2 linked regions of the Neodiprion lecontei genome follow. The protein of the gene in region 2 purifies or fractionates together with the protein of the main gene of each other region. This does not show direct contact. Links are inferred from orthologs where the notes say so. Each region holds a gene or a part of one and is shown on either strand. Other genes may lie near its edges.

Region 1 (10,621 bases), on a different chromosome or scaffold from region 2:
AGATTCTGGTTTTCATTTCAAGTTTGCTATTGAAGCAACAAGTTCTATGATGTTTATAGAATGAAATGCAGCTTCCTCAATAATGAGAGAAAGAAAAAGACGAATGTTATAAATAAAAACTCATTCAAGAGTTGAGAGAATGATATTTCATCCTCTCAACGCACAATCAAAATCTGGTAAAATATATTTTCTGCCGTAATGATCACTTCTTATACTTGCTTTTTCAGACAGTTGGTAATCAAAAGGTGAACATCTTGTCGCTCGTCGAGCAGCAGCATAGCCCCAAGATAGCCGATTCTTTTGTCTGTAAACCTCGGCGACGCTATCAGCTTCAAACATTCGAGCTGTCCAAAATGCGCCGGATATCTGTGAATTTGATTGAAGCAAATTTTCAGCTTCAGAAGTTATTCCGATTTTCTTATAACGAAGAATAAATTTTTACAGACCCCAACATGTGAATGTAAAGCAGTTTAGCAATGTTGCGACACCTCCAGACGCTGTCCTCCTCCCTGAACGTCGATCGAATGTATGCGCATTCTTTGTTGACGACTGTACGTTCTTCAGCGGCAGTTCTTGCCGCTCGTATTTGTCTGATCAAATCGCGGAGGCGTGTAGGAGCTGGCATTCTCACTGTCGAAACTTTTAAATTAACATTATGTTATCAGTGCACTGTGTTAGCTGGGCGGCGGTGCGTTAGTGTAAAAAGCTAAGCACTGCACTGGACGAACTAATCGCTGCATTACAGGGACGTGATTGGACACATAAAATCTGTGCGATATATTCAATTTTAAAATAGTGGCGACTATAGGACTGTGCGAATAAGTGTCATAAACTTCTGAAACGATCGTTGACTTTATTCAGAGCTTTGCCAAGTTCCAGAGCTACAAAAGCCTGAATGAATCAGGCGTGTGGCAGTAATTGAAGATTTAAAGGATGAATCATTTTTCGAAAAGAAAATACCTGCATATTTCATTGAAAATATCTGGTACAAGCCTTGACAAAGCTCTGCATTCGATTTACCAAAAGAAATCCTCTGGCACTTTAAAATTTGTAAAAGAGCTACAAACCGAAGCAAAGATTGAACGGACTGAAAAAGCTTGAAAGAAGTTCTCTGTAAGCTCAGAATAAGCAGGATATAAAAAATCAAATACCACACTCTGAATTCCAATTTCACAGTCACTATAAATATAAGCGCATAGTACAGAAGCTGATGACATCGAGGAAGAGAAAATAGATCATACATTACGCAGATGTAAAAGAAATTGATGGGAATTATAAATCTAGTTAGCGAGTGTGACGCCGAAGCTCATCTTTAGGTTCTTTTGCTTTTTTCTCTATTCTAATTGCAACCTGGGGACGTGTGTAAAAAGCTAGGGAAGGATGATCAATCGCACAATCCGGGATACCCACCTCGCTCAACAGCCTCGTTGATAGCCTGCTTTATGGAGGCCATATTGAAGGCTGGGTTAAACCTGAAAAAGTCACACCATGCTGGTTTAGAAAGCACACCATAAATGTCTTTTAGTTCAACTTAGTAATATCTATCTACATGCATTGACACCTTTAGTACCCAATCGTTTTTTGATCGCATTAGAACTTGACACAGTTTTTTTTTAATTTGAGGAATTGGAAAAGGAAGATAACAATCCGATGCAAAATGAAAACCTCCAAGTAGTGATAAGAAATAATCGATTGTTAGATAAATTATCTAAGTTTAAAATCAATGTCAACGAGTCGAGATTTTATCTATAACACAGTATTTCATCTGTTATAATAATATGATAACGTATTCAGGTTGTCCTATTTAATCCCCACTGCTCTCTATTTTTAGATTCTCTTATAGAAGAATGGTTCAATTGTTCTTGAAATTCAAAAAATATGTCGACTGTAACAAATTTTTGCAATTATAAACAAGATCAATAAAATAAAGTCACAGCTTCTTCCGAAAAATTTATTTCAGTAATTATCCGTAGAACTCTCTTTTTGCAATCGAGTGCAGAAAAGTGTCCGAATTGAATACAATAGGATTAAGAACAACAAAAAAAACACAAGAAGAAAATTAAAAGAATCATTTTCAAATCAACCAACAAATTTGAAAAGAAATCTACTCTTTCCAAAACTTTTGAAATAAATAAAATCAATTAAAGATAGAAAAATGTTGACTATTGTAAAAATAAATTGGCATATAATTTGCTCTACTTATTTTATACCATTGAAAAAACTTTTAGACAGTAAATATACGTTATTTCAATAAGAAAATAGTAGTAGTCTTATTACAGACTATGTTAAAAATTTTTCAACAGAGATTAAAGGAAGGACTGTACGCAAGGGCTGAATACAATAAAATTCGAATCAAACAAACATTTGTACGGAACGAAATACTGAAATGAACAAAAAAATAAATAAAATTACCCATGTTCTGAGGCATTCATGATTTCTCAACACCGTTTAGAAATTTTGTGTTTTTTTTTTTGTTTTCGGCTGGCAGCTATAGCAACAAACTGGATTACTGCAGCAGGCTGTTAACCACTCGACACACACACTCTTTACTCCTTTGTATCGCCGCTATGCTCCTGTTAGACATATCGTATTTGTTTTTTTTATGGTTACATCGGCGTTATTCCTTTTGATATCAAACTCAGGGACAGGGCATGGGGGTTACAATCCTAATTATACGTTAAACGCAAGCTTTGTATGTACCTATTCACATGTCTCTATAACAATAAACAGAGTCGACATACATTTGTGTGAGTTTATATGCGTACGTGTCTGTATTACATAACAGAAACATTCGCATCTTCCAAGATTAATTTCCCGACAAATATATCACACGATTTACACTGCCATTTCTGTCAACATAATATTATTTGTTTACAGTAAATACTTGTCAGTTTTAGATTTTTCATTCTACGCAAGAAATTGGCAATGTTTTGAAAGGCTTGAAAATTATGTTTAATGTAAGATGCTGATGAGTTACTCGAGTTTACTATGTTTTATGATTTGCAGGTGTAAAATGTCGGAAAATAAGAGTGGCTAAAAACAAACTCAAACTGTATGAAACTAATCTTGTATTGTAGGAAAAAAAAATGAAAAAATAAAAAAAAAAGATACCGCCGAGAAGAGTGAAAGATAATAGAAGAAAAGAATTGACTAACTTTGACGCTAATCGATGCTGAATAATGCGAGTGTGGTATGTAAAGAGTAGTGGGCGTTAGATGCGAAGGTTAGCTTTTGGTAAGCTGTCAAATGTGTGCGTAGAATTGGTAAATCACATCGAATAAACTACGGTGGAAAAAGAATCGGGCGAAACCGAAGGTTGCAGGTGTACAAGATCGTTGAAAAGCGAGGTTGAGCATGTAAAATACATACATACGGCAGTTATAAGCAGGCAGGTGAGAAGAGTTTTTGTCCAGATGCACACGGTGGTGTCAAACGACGGAAACGTGTCAATCGCCACCGTGTCACCTAACTTCACCTGACGAATGAGATTTTTAGGTGAGAAAAAAGACAGGAACAAACCGATGCACGGATCCGAATGAAAGACACACCACTCAAAGAGAAACACGGGAGGACGGAAAGGCACTGATCGGCAACTCCTCTCGATTCTCGAGCCGTGTATAACTTGGAATTGGAACTGCGAGTAGGTACAAACGCGAGTTTAGTGAACCACTCGTCGAACAATGCCGCACCTGCCCTGCCGAAACTCTGTTCCACTTTCCAGCTCACTAGTCAACTTTGATCACTGGATAATGTATTCAATCGAGGTTTTCTAACGTTGATACCTACCGCCTACCACAGAGTTCGAGACCAGAATCGTATTGTTGTGGGCGAAGGGTGGTGTGTTGTTTTAAATCATTAGAGGAGGAAAGAAAGGGACGATAAAGGAAAGAGAAAATTTGACGAAAAGAAAAAAATGGCAAACAATAGTGGAACAGGGGTATTTATCACGAATCGATTATCGGCGCATCAAGGCGATCATTATTAATCGCGCATATGTTAAATTACGCCGCCGACCCACCCCGAACGTACGACAAAACACTCGCTTGTCTGCAATTCACCAATCTACACTAAACCAACGAACTAATCTCCGCCGTCAGCCATACGTGCAGTGTTGCCAGATTAGCAGAATTCCTACTAAATTTATGAGGAATTGGAAGCTTCCGGAGAAAAAATATCTAGGAGTTTTTTCAGGACGAATTTCAAGAATTTTCAGATTTATGCTTCGCTCGTCGACTGTTACAATTTTTACTGACTTTATTTGTTATTTTTCTATGCGACAAGTACGGTGAGCGAAAGGCGACCACTTGCGTGGGGGATGAGATTCTATCGGTAAAGCAAATTCCAGAATTGCTGGTAGGGTCTAAGCTGAATTTCAGATATTATAGGAACAGCTTATTGTGAAAGGTGAATATTATTTCTACGTGTCAATTATATGCATGATATCGTGCAAACTTGATTCAAGGTCATTCTGTCCTTTAAAAATTTTAGGAGGAAATTTGGGAAGATTTTCTTTGTGGGTTAGGAGATTCTAGGAGAATTTCAAAGTTACCCTAGGAGGTTTCTGCAACAGTCATCTGGCAACACTGCATACACCAAAACTAAGATGGCGGGACGGCCTCAATTGACGTTGGCGGTCGGCGGTACATCGCTTATTTAACAAAATTGGGCACATGCTTTACAGGTTATACGTTCGCACCGTTATTAAAGCGACACGCTTCACTTGATACTGCATTTTTTTAATAAATATACCCTATCATTCGACCCTTGATACATCGCTGGAGGGTAATAAAGGTGTCATTGCACAACGTAGTTGACTTGCTCTGGTATTTCATACCTATATGCGGTTGTCGTTTGAAGGATATGAAAAAACTGAAAAGATCACTTAATGAATTCCTGTAGTTTTGTTAATAAATTTTGCTCCCCGGGTAATTGCATGTACTAATTGTGCACAATGGTATCTCTAACGAAACGATCGTAGAAACTATTAAAAACCGATCACGCTTCGAACCGACCATCAATATGTTCGTACAAGTAAAAACTAGACTGTAAGTTGGTACATTGCATCGCAATGCATGTTTTGCATATTTCATTTCGTCAATCAGCTTCATCAATACGCGATATTTTTCGTTATCTTGTACCGTATCACCAACGATTGGATGTATCGAGCATCTGTGATTCATGCAGACGCGTCACACCTTTGCATTCATACTTCTCTCCCATTTATCTCGACGCGTGTATTTTATCATTGCTTCTTTTTTTCTCCTCCCTGAATTTTTTTCCCTTCTCCCCATATCGGCTTACCTGATTGCGGGTTCGCGTCACGTTACAATACTATAACTCGTTTGAAATTTTCCCTACCCGAGTTATAACGAGATACATATTACACAAGCACATCTCCGTATGTGTGCATACAATGTAATTTATACGAACGACATATATTGTACATACATATATATATATGTACATAAAAAATGCGTATTTGCCGATCGTAATTATACTCGCAAATAACAGCTTCACACCACAGGCTTATCAACACTGTGAATTTGCGACCGGCAGCAACTTAAATCTGCAACGTGGACGCTTATCACCGCGCCGATAATATTTTACACAAGAATATATTAATTCGATCACTGCATTATGCATGATGCACCGTACATTTTTCACTAAATACTATCTGCAGCTGATGTAATCTTATACTGTATACCCACTTCGTTTTTTCGTTACCAACAATTGTGAAAAAAGAATGAAAAAAAGAACCAAAAAAGAAACGCGTCTTAAACCTTCGAAAATAAATTATGGACCATCACCTATCGAATCAACTATAAGAACGGACAGTTTTGAATTTACATTATTCTACTTCATTTACGGATATTTTAGGAATAGAAAATCGGTAATGGAGTGAATAGCGAAATAAGGAGCTTTTAGAGGTCGCATACAATGTTAAGCTGTTATATGTAGTTAAGATTACCTTCTGTTCAGCTCGGGCGGGAGAACACTCCAATCTTCGGTCTCATAATAGGGCCACATGATGCGTAATCTCACCAAACAGTAGGATTTTGCAATTTAAACGAAGCACCGTTAATTCATTGGCGGTATATCATGTGCTATGGTGGCTAGCAGCTAGTATGGCGAACGATATTTATCACTAGCATTATAGAGCGCCAGAAGGTGTGAGGTGTTGCCTTTATCTCTTATCTCACTCTGTGACTCCGCTATCAGCTGACACTGAGCAAGAGCTACCATTCTAATCAACCATCAGATTCAATTTTACTATCTATTTTCTGACGCTTTTTCATTGCATTAAAAACACATTTACCGGTTGGCCGCGAAGAATAATTAATCGTGATTAATTTGAGGATATTTACGGATACAGATTTTACACAATATCAGTGACTTCGATATTGTTCTGCTAATATTATCGTTATTATTTCACCTGTCTTACAAATATTGATCAATCGATATTTCTCCTCGAAGATTATCGATACAGTGGAATGTATTTCCTTTTATTACCGTAATAGTTCAGAAATACGATTAATATTGAAATAAAAATAATTTATTTATATAAATAATAATAAAAATATTAATAATAATATTAACAACGAATTGTCGCATTGGAAAATGTACAAAATATCTATTCTTAAAATTTAACTTATGTTTTACCGTTATTGAAGACAGGAATGTATTTGCTACGACAGACAATTATCGTCCTGATTACGAGGCGGACGGATGTCGTTATTTCTTTTGATGCAATCGACCAGCCAGTGAATTCCTTCGTCTACACCGTCGCTATAAATAACAACAATTATTAGGCCGTTTTGAGCGATCAAATTCAATGAGTTTATCCCTGAGTAACCCCTGCGAAATTATTCTTTTTACCCATTTAGCGCGGAAACCGGCATCACCATGCAATCTCTCCTTCCAATGAGATGGGCATTCTGATTGAAAATCGGCTTCACATCTCTGACTCCCATACAGTCTGGTATATCTTGTTTATTAGCGAGAACCAGCAGAGGTACTCCCATCAAATGCTCCGAAGATATCATCCTGTCTACATAAATCTGTTATAAGCACACTTATTCATCTTTGAAATTTGTCAGGCTGTTCCATGCGAACATACTTTGAATAAGCATATTTTTTGTTCTAAAGAAATCGATAATTTCGACCATGGTAAAACTAGAAGCGTTTTAGACAAATTTACTACTTTCTGAGGATCTTGAGGCACCCTTCAAGTAATACATGTGTTTTAGGTAGCTCAAGATACTTTTAAACTCGCACTGCAAAACTTTATTTTAAGACTATTGTTGGATTTCGAAAAGTAAAATGCACATTGACAGGTTGATGTAACAATAGAACATCCTGCACTTAGGCCAATGGTACTGTCTTACCAAAAGTCTCTTTGGAATCTGGTATTCTGTCTCTGTCCGAAGAATCAACAATGTAAATGACTGCGTGCGACTCTGCGTAATACTGCAAAATATGTTATGTTTTACAAAATGTAATAGCGTTTTCATTGCAAATGATTTAACTTTATTTATAATGAGATGAATGATTGTGATCAGGCTTCAGGCTCGCCTTAGTAACCTTTAAAGGGCCAGCCTGGCTCTTTTAGGGGTCAGCAGATAATTCGGAAACTCCACCATGCGCGTTGACTATTTACATACATAAATCATACCTCTAAAAAAATATCCAATTTCAAGGGAAAAATGCCAGCCCTCTAAGGTTAAACAGAATATTGCCATTGTTGTATAATGAACGTCAGATTGTCAAGCGAATCTTGGTTTATAAAATTTGAAATAAGAATTATGACTTGGGATTTTTTTACAAAAAATGTGAGATATTCTAGGTCGACTGAAGTGAGTGAAAGATGAAATCAGGTTCGACATAAAACCTTATCCCAGAGAGACTGAAGTTCCTCCTGTCCTCCGAGATCCCAGAAGTTTAACCGCACGCCCGCGTGATCAATTTTTCCAATATTAAGGCCGACTGTTGTAGTAATTTTGCTGGGATTCATGCCTTTGTAGTTTTTCGTGAACTTCGTTTTAGCTGCCTCTAAGTAAGTCTGTGAAATAGTTAAACTAGCGTTTAGAAAACTCACAATGTCTCTTCGTACAGAACATAACCTAAGACAACAATGTGTAATGATACTCTTACCGTCTTCCCTGCATTGTCTAAGCCCAGTATCAGTACGTAATATTCGTCTTTTTGCATGAGGTACTTATAAAGACCGTTTAATAATGTATACATTTCAATATTGTTCACTCTTTGACAAGTTTACTTCCGTGTCATAGTAAATTCAATATGAGCCAAGTGGTTGGGTATTTGTCAATGACGACGATTTGTAAGTCGGTATTGCACGAACTCGACATTATCGGTAACAACTTGATGTATCTGGAAATACGTGTAACATCCCGTCGGTATTGTGGAATACCGAACGACCGATGATATATTCGGGACGCAAATTTTACTTACCAGATTGCGGAGTTATAGGACATAAGAAACATGATACACGGTAACTATCGTACACTGAAATAGAATGTCCTATGAATGTTATATCTGTGCTAAAACTATGGCAGTCGAAGATAATTACTAACGAAACGAAAAAAATTACCGCCGTTCCAGGCGACGCCGCGACGATAAGGTTAATCATTTTCAAATTTTCCGTCGGAATACACTGTTCGTTAGTGACATAATTCAATAATGTATTCTAAATTCGTCTTCAACCACTGTTCACTATTTTCAAATAGTTTTTTTGTTTATTTTATTGTCGTTAATTCTGTCAATCTTGCGATGCGTTTAACGCGCCTTGGAAAGGCAACCCAACATACGTCGCAGCAAGTGAGAGCCTGAATGCTCTAACCGGGCGCTCGCTTTACACAAATCAACACTTACAATATAGTTGCGCACCTTATCGCATTTATACAGCCGCCAATAGGATTAGCACTGGCATTGTATTTGCAGTTGGTCCTGATTCACTTTTCGATGTACCTATCGAATAGATCAAATTCCACGAACGCGTCTTGTCACGTCATGTCATCGTAACTACTCCATACATCCGCAGATCCGCAATCAGGAAAGTAACAAAAGACAAGGGCTCTGTCCAATAAATCGCTATGTCGAATCAGTCAGTGTCCAATTAATCTAGCGCTCCATATAGCTTCCGATTATTTTTGCTGTCCAATAACGCTGATGTCCTATAGGATGGTGTCCAAGAAATCACGTAACAGTTGACTATATGATTTTGCTTGCTCTGTATAGATGACTATATGATATTTGATCCAGTATATCTGATAATTCGTGCTTTTGTTTTTCATTACGTGATTTCTCATACATTTTATCGAATTTAGAAGATGAATCATGTAATAAATTACATGCTGAATTCTTTCAAAACACTTTATGATTTAACAAATGAACATTTACAGTAGGGTGGTAATACTGTTGATATTAAAATGATATAAAAGGTTATTTTATAGAGAAGAAATCAAGTATTATTTATTCAAACATATATTAGGTAATTTGAATGAAATTTGGTGGTAAAGTGGCAAATATACATAAGACAAGTATAAGTCAATTAGACATAAACGACTCAATTTTAATTTTGTTGAACGATCTTTTCTTCGGATTCTGACTCCGCTGCTCTCCGGAACCGGAATGATCCTTGTATTCCAACAGTTGGTTCCCACCTTTGGCCCGGGTACTTCTGAGCTCCGCCTGTCGCGCTGATCGAACCATGTTTATTCTCAAAAAGCTTGTGCTGGTAATCGACGTTGTAAGAAGGTCGGCGTTCTGGACCACTGAGATTCTTCTGCCAAGTGGCACGTACGGATCCTTGGGGTTCCGGCTGTGGTTCCGGCGATCTACGGAATCGGAAAGACCCTTGTACTCCAACAGTTGGTTCCCACCTTTGGCCCGGGTACTTCTGAGCTCCGCCTGTCGCGCTGATCGAACCATGTTTATTCTCAAAAAGCTTGTGCTGGTAGTCGACGTTGTAAGAAGGTCGGCGTTCTGGACCACTGAGATTCTTTTGCGCTGTAACGCTCACAGATCCTTGAGGTTCCGGCTGTGGTTCCGGCGATCTACGGAATCGGAAAGACCCTTGCACTCCAACAGTAGGTTGCACTCTCTGTCCTGGATTCTTCTGAGCTCCTGCTGTGGCGCTGATCGAACCATGCTTATTCTCAAAAAGCTTGTGCTGGTAATCGACGTTGTAAGAAGGTCGGCGTTCTGGACCACTGAGATTCTTTTGCGCTGTAACGCTCACAGATCCTTGAGGTTCCGGCTGTGGTTCCGGCGATCTACGGAATCGGAAGGATCCTTGTAGTCCGACAGTCGGTTCCCACCTTTGACCTGGGTACTTCTGAGCTCCGCCTGTCGCGCTGATCGAACCATGTTTATTCTCAAAAAGCTTGTGCTGGTAGTCGACGTTGTAAGAAGGTCGGCGTTCTGGACCACTGAGATTCTTTTGCGCTGTAACGCTCACAGATCCTTGAGGTTCCGGCTGTGGTTCCGGCGATCTACGGAATCGGAAAGACCCTTGCACTCCAACAGTAGGTTGCACTCTCTGTCCTGGATTCTTCTGAGCTCCTGCTGTGGCGCTGATCGAACCATGCTTATTCTCAAAAAG
Region 2 (11,486 bases):
CGAAAGTATTGGCGATGATCTCAGTGCTTACGACGATACTGAAGCTTGGCCAAGTTTGATTGATGATTTTGTGGAGTACGAAAATGATCAGATGAACCAGAACATTACCAAGGATGATATTATAATGAAAGATAATGTTGATAAGGAGTAGATGTAGTGATATTGCGAAATAATAAGAAATTGAGAAGATGCAATTTTATATATATATATATATATATATATATATATATATATATATATATATATAAAACTTTCAAGCAGGATATTCCCACGACTTAAGTAAGCTGCCATCAAAAAGGAGAGAAAAGAAAACTAGTATCGAATTGGACTTCTGTAAAGTTAATACTAAATTATTGACCAAAATGTTTTTATCAGAATCAAGTTTATTTGAGCCTGTGCGGAATTTTCAGGTATAGATTAGCGATGGGAAGAAATATTTTCCGTAGTTTAATGATATGTTCAGAAAGATTTCAGGGAAAATCCTGTTCAGAACTGTTCAACAGTCATTTGAAACGATCGTTTTAACACGCGGGACTTAGCACATAATATGTTATATCGAAATTAGTATTACGGTCCCAACTTGTGATACATACATTACTGATAATATTTGTCTTTTAGATATTTAAGTAAAATTTAGGTAACGAAACAAACGAACTAGTAACGCAACGTATTTTATATACAAGGACTCGCAAGACTAGCCAATCGAGTACATATTCATTGATGTATGTATTTAATTCTATAGAAATAACGATCATATATATAGTTAATTATATGCGAATAATGCAGAGGTGACAATTTTTTTAGTGGCTAAGTAATGAAGACAAAGTATTTCATTCAGTTTATTCTTAAACTTCGTCAAATTTTTTTTAACCCAGTTGAAACTTTTTCCTTAGCCATTCCTGCGTGCTTATTTTCTCAGAATACCATTTTAACTATTTTATCTATATAAATTGTAAATAGAAATTCGCAGTGGCATGGTTGTTGATTTCCTCCTTAAATTGGCTTGTAAGTCATACACAGGGTAACCCAGGACGATCGCCTTATAGGCTACCAATATGGTCCTCCTGAACATCCGCGACTGAAACGTTTTTTACTTTTGATCGAAAATTTGCCGTTTCCGATTTTATAGCCGTTTGAAATTGGCCAATCTGGTAGCATCTGAGGACTCAGAACAGCAGATGATCTGCTAGTCGCGTTCTCTTTCAGTTCTAAGCCATCAGATGCTACTGGAATAGCCAATTTCACACGGCTGTAATTTGCAAACAACAAATTTCCTATAAGAAATGAAAAACGAAAAATCACAGATTTTCCCAAAGAATACATTGGTAGTCTGTGGGGCGATAGTACTGAGTCATCCTGTATAATAGCTTGGTAAAATATAAATCAGTTGCCTGAATAATCCGGTCAGTTATGGTGTAGGATTAATTTCAGCGGTTTTCTTTGTTACAACTTGATGAGTATGTAACATTCAAATGCATTTTGACAATCTACTAAAAACAAAATTGCATTAGGCTTTGGAACAGATATCGTAAAACCTTTGCACAAATCCAATTACCAGTTATGTCGATATACTTCATTTTCATCACCTTGTGTGAAGTACTCGTGAATTACAGTTCTTTGGACTGTAGGTTATATTATTTACCAGAACCTCAATTAGAACGATCAATATTCCAATTATTGTATACAGTGTTAAAAAGTTCATCATCGTCATTTACCAGAAATCAGTGACAGTTCACTTAACATAATTTCTATATAATTCCTCTTGACAACAAAGAATTACTTTGGCGAAAAAGATATTCATAACCATCAACAAAATGTCATGAACATATACAATACTATATCATGGTTTTTATGGAAAGGAATAGTTTCGACAAATGATAGTTATTTTTCGAAAATGTTTCCTTTGCCCCGGAAGGACTGTATTTTTATAAAACACTTTGAAATCAACTTTTCAAAATTACAAAAATTCTAATCGAAAAATCAATTTGCTGTACTAACATTTGTGGCCTTCTAAATGAGCATATACTGAAAATTGCAATGAATATATATCTCGGCATAGTGAATATTTGGTTTATTTTTAGCGTGGCTCTGTTTATTCAGAATTGGATAACTGAACTGGTCAAAAAATCACAGCAGTAATCTAATGTACTCAGTTTACGGAAAGTGCCAACCAGATAAAAGATTGAAATAAAATTAATTAATGTAGAAAAATTATAATAAGTAACGAGACGTGTGCTTACAATTAATGTATATGTATATCTATTTATAAACTTTTGTATATAAACTGCTACTATCAGTTACTAATTCATCATAATCTCTCATTCAGACAGATTAGTCACTAACTATAACGATTCATATAGATTTCATTTCAAGCGTTCTAACCGAAATCATTTTAAGCCTGCATTCCAATAAAATGTTTCACTGCTATGATAACGACATGTTCGTTGAAACGTTAGCAGGTACGTTAACTTGTACTTTAAATCATTGTATTCACATAAAATCTAGCTACGCATTTAGTCAGTTTCAATAACTGTAACATAACGGATTCAATCGACTTCTAGTGTGACATTTCTTATCGTGAAAATCACTCGAAATTTTGCAAGTGATAATAGTTTACGTAATGTAATATGCATTATCCAAAAATAATCACTGGATTTTAGTTACTTGGTAGTTGAAGTGTTTTACGAGAATATCAGCCTGAAAAGTAGATGGCTTATTTGCCATTTAAATTCGTATAGGATCTCAAAGGTACAAACCTTTCAAATGAGTTGCACACAAGTCATTTTTTTTCAATTCAAAAGCCAATCTCTATCACTGTGAATCATTAAATAAGTATGCAAGTGTACTTTATTATGTGTTATTATCAATAGCTGAATTGAATTCTTTTATTCATATTTTGATTGACTAAGTTTGATTGTCAAACGTAAAACTGAAGAAGTCATATATCATTTACATTAAATGATATTATTATTTCTAACTCACATTTGATAGAGGTGTTCGTGATAAAAGAAATAGTACGCACAGTATAATTATTCAATAGATCACTGTAAAAGGGTTTAATTTCCATTCTGAAGCACATACTTATTTTCTTTCGTGCACTTTAAAGAGTTCTGTATTGAGTAGATTTTGTTGCAGCTCAAAAATTAGAAAATCATAGACCGAATTTCTGAGGGAATTTTATTAGCTGTATTTATTAGGAATGGAATGCTTGCTAAATTATCTTATTTGGAAATGTATATGTACTATAAAAACACGAAAATATTGTGAAAACAAGAAATGTTGAACACGTGAGGTTTGGTGATAAAATGAGATAGTTGCAACTGTGTAAAAAGACTAGAAGAATTTCGTCCAATTTATGTCAACTATCGATTAGTCACCAGTGACAGAGATCGTCTTTCAATATACGGTCAAACTACTTTTTACAATCTATCAACGCTTCGTGTACTCAATTTTTTAATAAAACCAGTAATGTTCAAGTATTGAATGTTATGCTTTATTTTTCTTATAATTTCGGGTATAACTGAAAATCAACTTAAACACTGCACTAACGTTTAATCATGCGGTTTGTGATACATATATACATACATGTATATACCTATAATATATCGATATAATATAGAGAGACAGAAGCTACATTTGACATACGCCTTCAAGTGACCATGGACCAGCCGGGCACATCTCTAGAGAAATCGTTCACATTTTAAATACATTTTCACGATATATTGGAGCATTATTTTAATCGTTGACGGTAAATTATGCCTCGCATAAAAATGCTCCCTGATTGAAATAAGCAGTTATAGGAAAAGTATTGTATTTTGATCAGAACGGTGGCATTGACATTTTTAAGGGCTGTTTAGGCGGAATGTTTTGTCCTTTTCTTTTGTGCGAATTCTTAGAGAATACCCCGAAAGACTGCGACATTGCTATAATTAATTACGCCTTATAATGTAATCGGATTAAAATCATTAATTTTTTGGATCTTTCCATACTTACAAGGGACGTTTGAACTTTGAACTTACGAGAATAAATACCAGCAACTTTTTAGTTTGTTTATATACCGCAAGTCCCAAGTGTAAAACGCAGCTATAGCCTTATTACATTTATGTTCATTACACTTCAAAGGTGAGATTACTTTTTTGTATTTTATCATCGACAAGTTGGTGATTAGCATCGTGTTTCATATAGGCCACTTCGTCCAATGTATCTGACCCATTTAATAACATCATGATCAGAATAATTCAGTTTAGATTCAAATACTTTCAAGTAACGAACTTTGAATCCAGAAGGGGCAAATGGAACCTCAAAGTTCATGGAAATTGGTGGTCGTGTCCACTTCTTCTTCGTATCAGTTTCTAACAGATCAATTTCAGCAGACAACTGCGTCTCTTTCATGCCAGCCATTCGCTTTATCTTCCATACAATTGCATTTTCCGATGCCTTATATTTTGCCTTTCCCTTTAAACATATCAGTTGTACGCCAGCTGTATTCAATGGCGTCGGAACACGGACCTCGATCTTTTGGCCAAGTAAAGAGGATTTGAAACTTGACTTGAGGACAGCCTTTACTTCCATCTTCGTGCGGCCGACTTCACGTACCAATGGTATAACGCGGAATGGCAGTGATATATCTTTTGTGGTCCGATATCTGGTACAACAATATTTTACATAATTATTTTTCAAGTTTTCAAATCACTCGATGTTTATGTATTTACTCATTGTTTGGATGCTACCAAAAGAACCGTTACTGGAACCCATCAATTACCTCATTAATTCGAATTCACCATCCGGTGGGATGAAACTGATGGAATGTTCTGTCTCAAACTTGGAAAGTTTGACACATTGATGGAACTGGCAATCATCGATAACCACCACAGGCTTGCCAGATCTAGCTCCAGGGTCATCACCCGTGCTACCTAAACTACCACCTCCTCCTTTCACTCCTTTTGCATCCATCACTATTTTATCATTAATCCCGAACTTACACTCTGGCATTCCTGACAAGTAGGACTTCATCACTACCTGTTTGGGAGAGAAAACTTTTAAAATTAATAACATATTTGAATAGTTCCATCAATGCTAATAATGTCAAACATCAAAACGGTTTTTAAATCCTTAGGCATCTGAAAAAAGATGGTAAGAATGTTTGCTAACCTTGCCAGCCACATGAGCGCTGAGAACCTGGCCCTGGGGGCTCATCAATAAATTGACGTATTCAAGAACATCAAGGAAAAGTTCATTGCGCCTATATTTTATTCCTTCTCGTCGCCATCCGATTTGACCTGTAACTTGGGAAGTAATCTGAGCCTGTTCTTCTTTTGTGGCGGACTTGACGCCTTGCTGAGTGATGAAGGTTTTCAGTACCCCAGTGTCACAGTTTTGTGGGTAACCAAAATCCAGAATTTCTAAAGAATCGATAGAAAAATAGTCATAATCAATGATTATGACCAAATACCATTTTGTGCATGATTTTAAGATGAAACTCATACGATGGAATAGGCAATTTTTTTTACCATCAAGCAGTTCGTAAATCAGGACAAAGTTGTTCTTAATGTTTTCCTCAGATATTTTGCCAAAATACGACTGCATGACTTCGATGATTTTCAATAAAAACTCAAAGACCATAGCAGCGTTGACATTTTGCTTGGTAACAGCAGCCAGCCAGATATTGGCTCGTTTAATATGGAAGAACGACGTCCTGGCAATATTGGTAACTGGCGATCGTACTTGCTGCCGAGCGTGAATAACATTGACCCTGAATGCATCGACTGCATTTCTGCCAATATCGTCACGATATACTCGAGAGATCAACACCTCTCCCTTATGGTTGTAGACAAACAGTCCCCCGATCATCTTGACGGAGGCTGTGAATTACTTTTTTGGTTACGCACCTGTAAATTCATATATAACTAATCAGGGCAGAGTTACGTAAAAATTTATAATTCAACAATTTATGATGATTCAACACTTAATATACTAATTAGATAGCCTACTTTGCATTCGTTTGAATAAATACAATCACAATTTTGGCCCTCTAGTTCTTGACCTTCCAAAGTCATTAAGTAGTAATTGAGATGCATTCTAATAGAGACATGCACTTGGTATTTTCACAGTGCCGAAACTGGTCGATTACCATTTTTCTCACACTCAGGGTAGTCAATTGTCTAAAGGCAAGCAGCCTACTTGTGATTTCGATAAATTATCCTATGTATTTGTCACAGAATATTCGTTGACACCGTGGTCAACATTTAATGCTGTTGCTTGTAGCAGTTCGGTGTTGAGCACTTGTTCAAAGAGCTCGGATAGTTGTAGAGAAGTGAAAACGGAAACCGATCAATGAATTGTTGGAAGTGAGAACCGAAAATTCGCGTACAGCTCGTTCGGATCTGTGATAAATAATATTTTTAATCAGTCATGAAACGACCAAGACTTTATTTAACGTAGAAACTGGTTAAAAATGACGCTTGATGACCCGATAAACGCCCACCGAGCGTCCGACAATCTAATGATGGTTCAAAACGTCATGCAACACATCCAAGATCCATCTCTACGGGCGAACGTTCTTCGGACCGTTAGTATTATCGATTGACAAGTGGACGATGCTTAATTCAGAACAGATTAATTTTTCGATGAGATGTAGAGTTGTGTTAGCCGAGGAAACAATTGAGAATCAACCATATAACAAAGCAATGAATTATAATGGACACTTTCTTACTTACGCATTCAGACGACTCAAGAAAATCGTAGAAATTACGCTGAAGTGCAGCTGTTCAGCGGGCACACAGAACTGCGAATGCGGCAGCGACACCCACTTTTTCCTACTACGGTTGTCAGTGATCGTCACTGGATGATACCGTGTAGGCATACCGGCTCAATGATCCAACAGGTTGAATCGAATCGATGAGTGTACCATGTTGTCAACCTGACGTAAATTCAATCGATTAAATAGCACGGAACAAACCAATCGTATTTCTCTTTCTTAATTATTTGTCAACAATAATACAGTAGTTAATTTGATCTTGTTACTTGAGATTTGATTGAAGTCAACGTTGAATACGATATACCTATATGGGAATTACTATTATAAGTGTATTGGGCTGAAAGAAAACAAGATATCTCAACACGTCTTTATCTACGACATTGCTCATTTATTTGTTTTTAGCTTGGAAAACATTGGTAAACAAAGGAAATGAAAATATTTCACAACTGATAAGGTGCGCGTAATATCGGGAGATCTAGAAGCATAGAAGAGAGACTATCTCTTGCCGAGTATTTCCGATTGCCTTTACCGATCATAATTTCATTATTTGAAAGAGTCAGCGATTTGTTTATAGTTTCTTGTATTTTCGGGATTGTTTTTAACCTTGACCGTGTTAATCTCATACTGACCAAAGAATTTTTGATGTATCCGTATACCCATACTATTATGTATCAGTGGATAATAGTATAAATCGTGCGCTTGCGTGGAATAGACTGCACTTTTTCTGTTGTGTTCATTTTGCAGTGAACGAAAAATCACATCTAATTACCGTAATACATACTTATTAGAATCTGTTACATGAGTATGAAGCTACGTTTATCGGCTAGCAAAAGTGAGTTATAATCGACGCGATGGCCATTGAGGAAAGTAATAATAGCGTATCTTTGCGGGATGAGCTCGTAAGTACTTTTCGCTACTTTAGGTTAGAATATCCGGGATTTTATTTCACATTCGAAACAATTTAATTAAGCATGATGACGACACATTTATTCAATTAATGAAAACACACAAGCACCACTCGATTACCTTTATAAATTCACCAACACTTCGCTTTATAGCTGTTCTTCAAATTTTTAACAACTAAATTACTAGCTGCTTCTCTCTTTCATCTCAATCTAGGTCAGGACTGCTGTAAAATTTTTACAAAATCCCAAGGTAGTTCCGAGTCCTTTAAAACAGAAACAGGAATTTCTCCGAAGAAAAGGTCTCTCGGAAAACGAAATTATTAAAGCATGTGAAATCGCGGGGGGGGACCAAATTGTCACAGAAGTTTCGTTTACTCCTAATCAAAAAGAGTTCACAGTTGTTCCTATGAATCATGGTCACAGCTACCCAAATTACCAACTACAATCGTATCGTCAAACAACATTTCAAAGAGTCAAAGAAATTCTAAATACCGTTGCTCTGTTTGGAACTGCAACTTATTGTATATATTGGTTCTACAAGGTGAGATTCCGCTCCTTATGCTGCATAGAATATTATATGTACTATGTTAGTTTCGAGATTCTATTGAAGATATAAAAATTGCCAAGGTTCTACCTAAAAGGCTCAAATGGAAATGGTAGTAATTCTGTTTCAATTAAATGAACCTGCAACAATTTAACCTTGTCATTTCTTCGAGTTACAAGATCCATTATACTATTTAAAAGAATTATCCTAATTGACTTTCAATTGTATTTTAGAAATTCATAGAGCCTTATTTATTTGGACGCAAGAGTCGCAAAACTGTGGAAGAATCCGTAACGGACTTAGACAAAACTATTAAAACCTCATTGAGAGAAATGAAAGACTCCATTTCCAAGGTAGAGATAGACGTCAGTAAACTGACGGAAAACCACTCCATCGATCCTAGCATACCACAGCTCGTTCAAGACTTGAAACAGGACTTAGCCAGTCTCAAGGGTCTACTGCTATCAAGGTACAGCAATGTCTATTTTGCAGAGTAAATAGTGATTTAGTTTTGTCTGAATTTGTTTTGTTCGTAAGTTGTGAATAATATCGGAATTACATTTTCTTTACCAATAGGAAACAATTTCCGAGTGTACCGGCATCCATTCCAACTTGGCAGCTAGCAACGTCGACAGTAAGAGAGAAAACAGGCGATAGAGAAGATCTAGATGATGCAGGGAGTGGTAGCAGCACCAACAACTCCGATAGTTCTTTGGAGATGATAAGAGAAGATCCTCCAAAAAATTGATTCAGCCTTAACCGAACTTGTGATTTTATTTCATTTGTAGATTTGCTGTACATGCCAATCATGTGGTTATCCTAATGTGTATAAATTTCGATCGATACAAGGACAGCCAATATAAGTTATGCTAACGAGTACGGATCACTACAATAAGCTGTTGAAACTCAGATCAATATCTTTTTTTCTATAAGGAACAAGTTTAGATAATTTCTCAATTTCCCCAACAATTGAATGAAAATTGTTAATCAGGAGGCAACTGCTGAGTCTCAAATACAATGTTTCATTACATCAATTCTTTTACAATTATGGTAGACTTTTTTACACGCATTATTATGGATGTTGGTACGATCATTGTTTTGTACATATAAGAAAAGTGTTTCATTGTTACGCAGGTTTATTGTTAGTATATTACTCATACAATTCAGTCATACGATAAATTGCCAAATATACGAATAAAAACAGATCGAATCATTGTTGTTTATTCAAGAAAAACAGCCGACATACGATTCGGCACACGTTTGTATATGACTTATTTAAATACCCAGTTATTTTGTCACTATGATCAAGAATTTATTATTAATAATAATATATAATTAATAATCATAAATCTATATATATTATCCACGTAGATATATATATATACACGTGTATATATATATGTATATTTATAGCTCATGTATATCACTATAATATTATCTCACGTATACCACAACCGCACGCGACATTCGCAAATCGACAGATGCACGGCCATCCTTACTAACATACACACTTTGCGCTCTAATATGTACAAACCATGCAATAATAATGATGTTTAGGGTTATTAGAAGATAAGCGGGCAAAATATAGAGCTATGTTCTCATCAATTCTTTTCCATGCCACATACAATGTTTGTCCTGTTAATTTTAAATTACGTGTACATGGATCGTTCGAGCGAATTACGATTCGATAATTAATCAACGGCGACCCTAATGAGTTGAATAAAAAATTATAACAAAGAAAGATATTTCTGTTGCTTCATAATGTTTATTATTACTGTTTGTCTGATTCTTCATAATCACTTCAGGTATAATCGGCATACCGCTGCCTCACTGATACAGTGAGCGTACAGCTAGATATCTTCTAGTACACATTTCCTAGTTATTCTAGGGCAGCTAATAGAATTCGTTATTGCAGTATGGTTACTTGAATAATTATTCGGATCATCATTGCCTGCTACATACGTCGAATGGCGTAAAATATTTACTAAAAATATCAGTTTGCTGAGTGGAATTGAAAAGAGGATTAGTAATGATGACGATAATAAAATAAAAAGCTAATAGAAATTACGGTTTATCGTGCATTTACAGACCCTGATATTTTGTTTTCATTTTTCACGTGTCAAAGGTGAAAGGCGAATATGACATAAAAGCAGAAAAAAAATGATACCCTACATAAGTTATTGTGCTGACGTAGGTGATGGCTAACAGTAGCTTGCTGTGTGCACTTTCTATCGGCGCTACTGATAAGCACAGAAAGTGGAGAGAGTCTAAGGCAAAACTTTGTCATCTTATTTCATGGGTAGCGCTTAAACGTTCCTATTATTAATTATTAATAATAATTCTACCCTAGACACACTAGACTGTTAGCGGTTTGAACTCTAATCTATTCTATGGGTTTTACTGGCAGGGGCTATGCTACCATGTATGATGTAAATGTAAGTTTCTAGAGAGTACAGAGCGGACGTCCTGTGTAAACCGTAAGGCATCCAACACTGGAAGTAAACTGAGTAGCGCTGTGTCGCCGGCATCACTAAACCAAGACTTTATCGGTATTGCATTATCTGTAATTTAAACGTCAAAAATTGATTAATCAAGTATACAATCTGCGGATTGCATAAACCATGCAAGAGTGACTCTGCTACAAAAAAAAAAGCCAATTGAAAATAGAAAGACTTATTTCTATAAAGAATATTGTTCTGGAGTAATGCATGTCGTCCAAAGTGATAACGGATTATAACATTTTCGCAATTCAGTAGGTATAATAAACACCACTATAAATAATATTCTAAAAATTTATAGCTTACGTGGATAAGCTCGGTAGGCGCCAGGACTATTGTCTAAAATGAAAACAGATGCTAAGTCTGAGCAAATAGCAGCCAAATCTTTAGTATAAGATCCCATTTCTGGAGTGCAGTGCTGTCTATAATATCTCCGTCTTAGAATCCCTCTGTTGTTGTCTAGTTTGTCAGCAACTGCTGCTCCATAAATTTCCATTGAAGCTGTGAATACTACCAGCTCGTACCTGGATCATATTGAACATATATACATTACTTCAATTTGTCGGTGCCAACAACAATTTCGAAATATTGAATAAAATTTAAGCAACTTACCACTGACTAACAATGTCCAAGAAAAAATCTACGTGTGGCCTTTTATGAACAAAAAATCTGACTGGATGACGATCTATGGTGACTTTGAGGACAAAATCTGGCGGTGTGCCTGGCCTGACAGTCGGTCTTGCAACACCGTCATGGTGCGAGTGAATTAGTGTCTCGTCTAA

What was found. Proteins that work in one complex are often made in the same cells at the same time.
Region 1: the proteins of AP-2 complex subunit mu (region 2) and AP-1 complex subunit gamma-1 purify together in Homo sapiens (affinity purification with mass spectrometry; 3 studies listed by BioGRID and IntAct, counting the BioPlex papers as one, with this or other methods). This does not show direct contact. The link is inferred for Neodiprion lecontei from reciprocal best matches to the Homo sapiens genes AP2M1 and AP1G1.

What each region holds. Positions count from the first base shown.
Region 1 is NC_060264.1:28,341,705-28,352,325, forward strand, and holds the start of AP-1 complex subunit gamma-1, read right to left. Parts: upstream 6,098-10,621; 5' UTR 6,028-6,097; coding exon 5,969-6,027; intron 4,201-5,968; exon of another isoform or gene 3,372-4,200; coding exon of another isoform or gene 3,370-3,371; intron 2,549-3,369; exon of another isoform or gene 2,433-2,548; coding exon of another isoform or gene 2,413-2,432; intron 1,473-2,412; coding exon 1,411-1,472; intron 640-1,410; coding exon of another isoform or gene 631-639; coding exon 447-630; intron 367-446; coding exon 220-366; intron 1-219. Other genes in the region: ADP-ribosylation factor-related protein 1, read right to left, coding at 6,687-6,786, 6,877-7,048, 7,386-7,467, 7,889-8,059, 8,152-8,244; uncharacterized protein LOC107219157, read right to left, coding at 9,590-10,621. UniProt on the Homo sapiens protein: Subunit of clathrin-associated adaptor protein complex 1 that plays a role in protein sorting in the late-Golgi/trans-Golgi network (TGN) and/or endosomes.
Region 2 is NC_060261.1:8,411,726-8,423,211, reverse strand, and holds AP-2 complex subunit mu, read right to left. Parts: upstream 6,857-11,486; 5' UTR 6,717-6,856; exon of another isoform or gene 6,713-6,716; intron 6,106-6,712; exon of another isoform or gene 5,991-6,105; intron 5,889-5,990; 5' UTR 5,851-5,888; coding exon 5,511-5,850; intron 5,403-5,510; coding exon 5,152-5,402; intron 5,020-5,151; coding exon 4,763-5,019; intron 4,646-4,762; coding exon 4,165-4,645; 3' UTR 3,472-4,164; downstream 1-3,471. Other genes in the region: DCN1-like protein 3, read left to right, coding at 1-151; peroxisomal membrane protein PEX14, read left to right, coding at 7,609-7,656, 7,877-8,203, 8,440-8,675, 8,783-8,954; CTD nuclear envelope phosphatase 1 homolog, read right to left, coding at 10,622-10,767, 11,011-11,228, 11,317-11,486.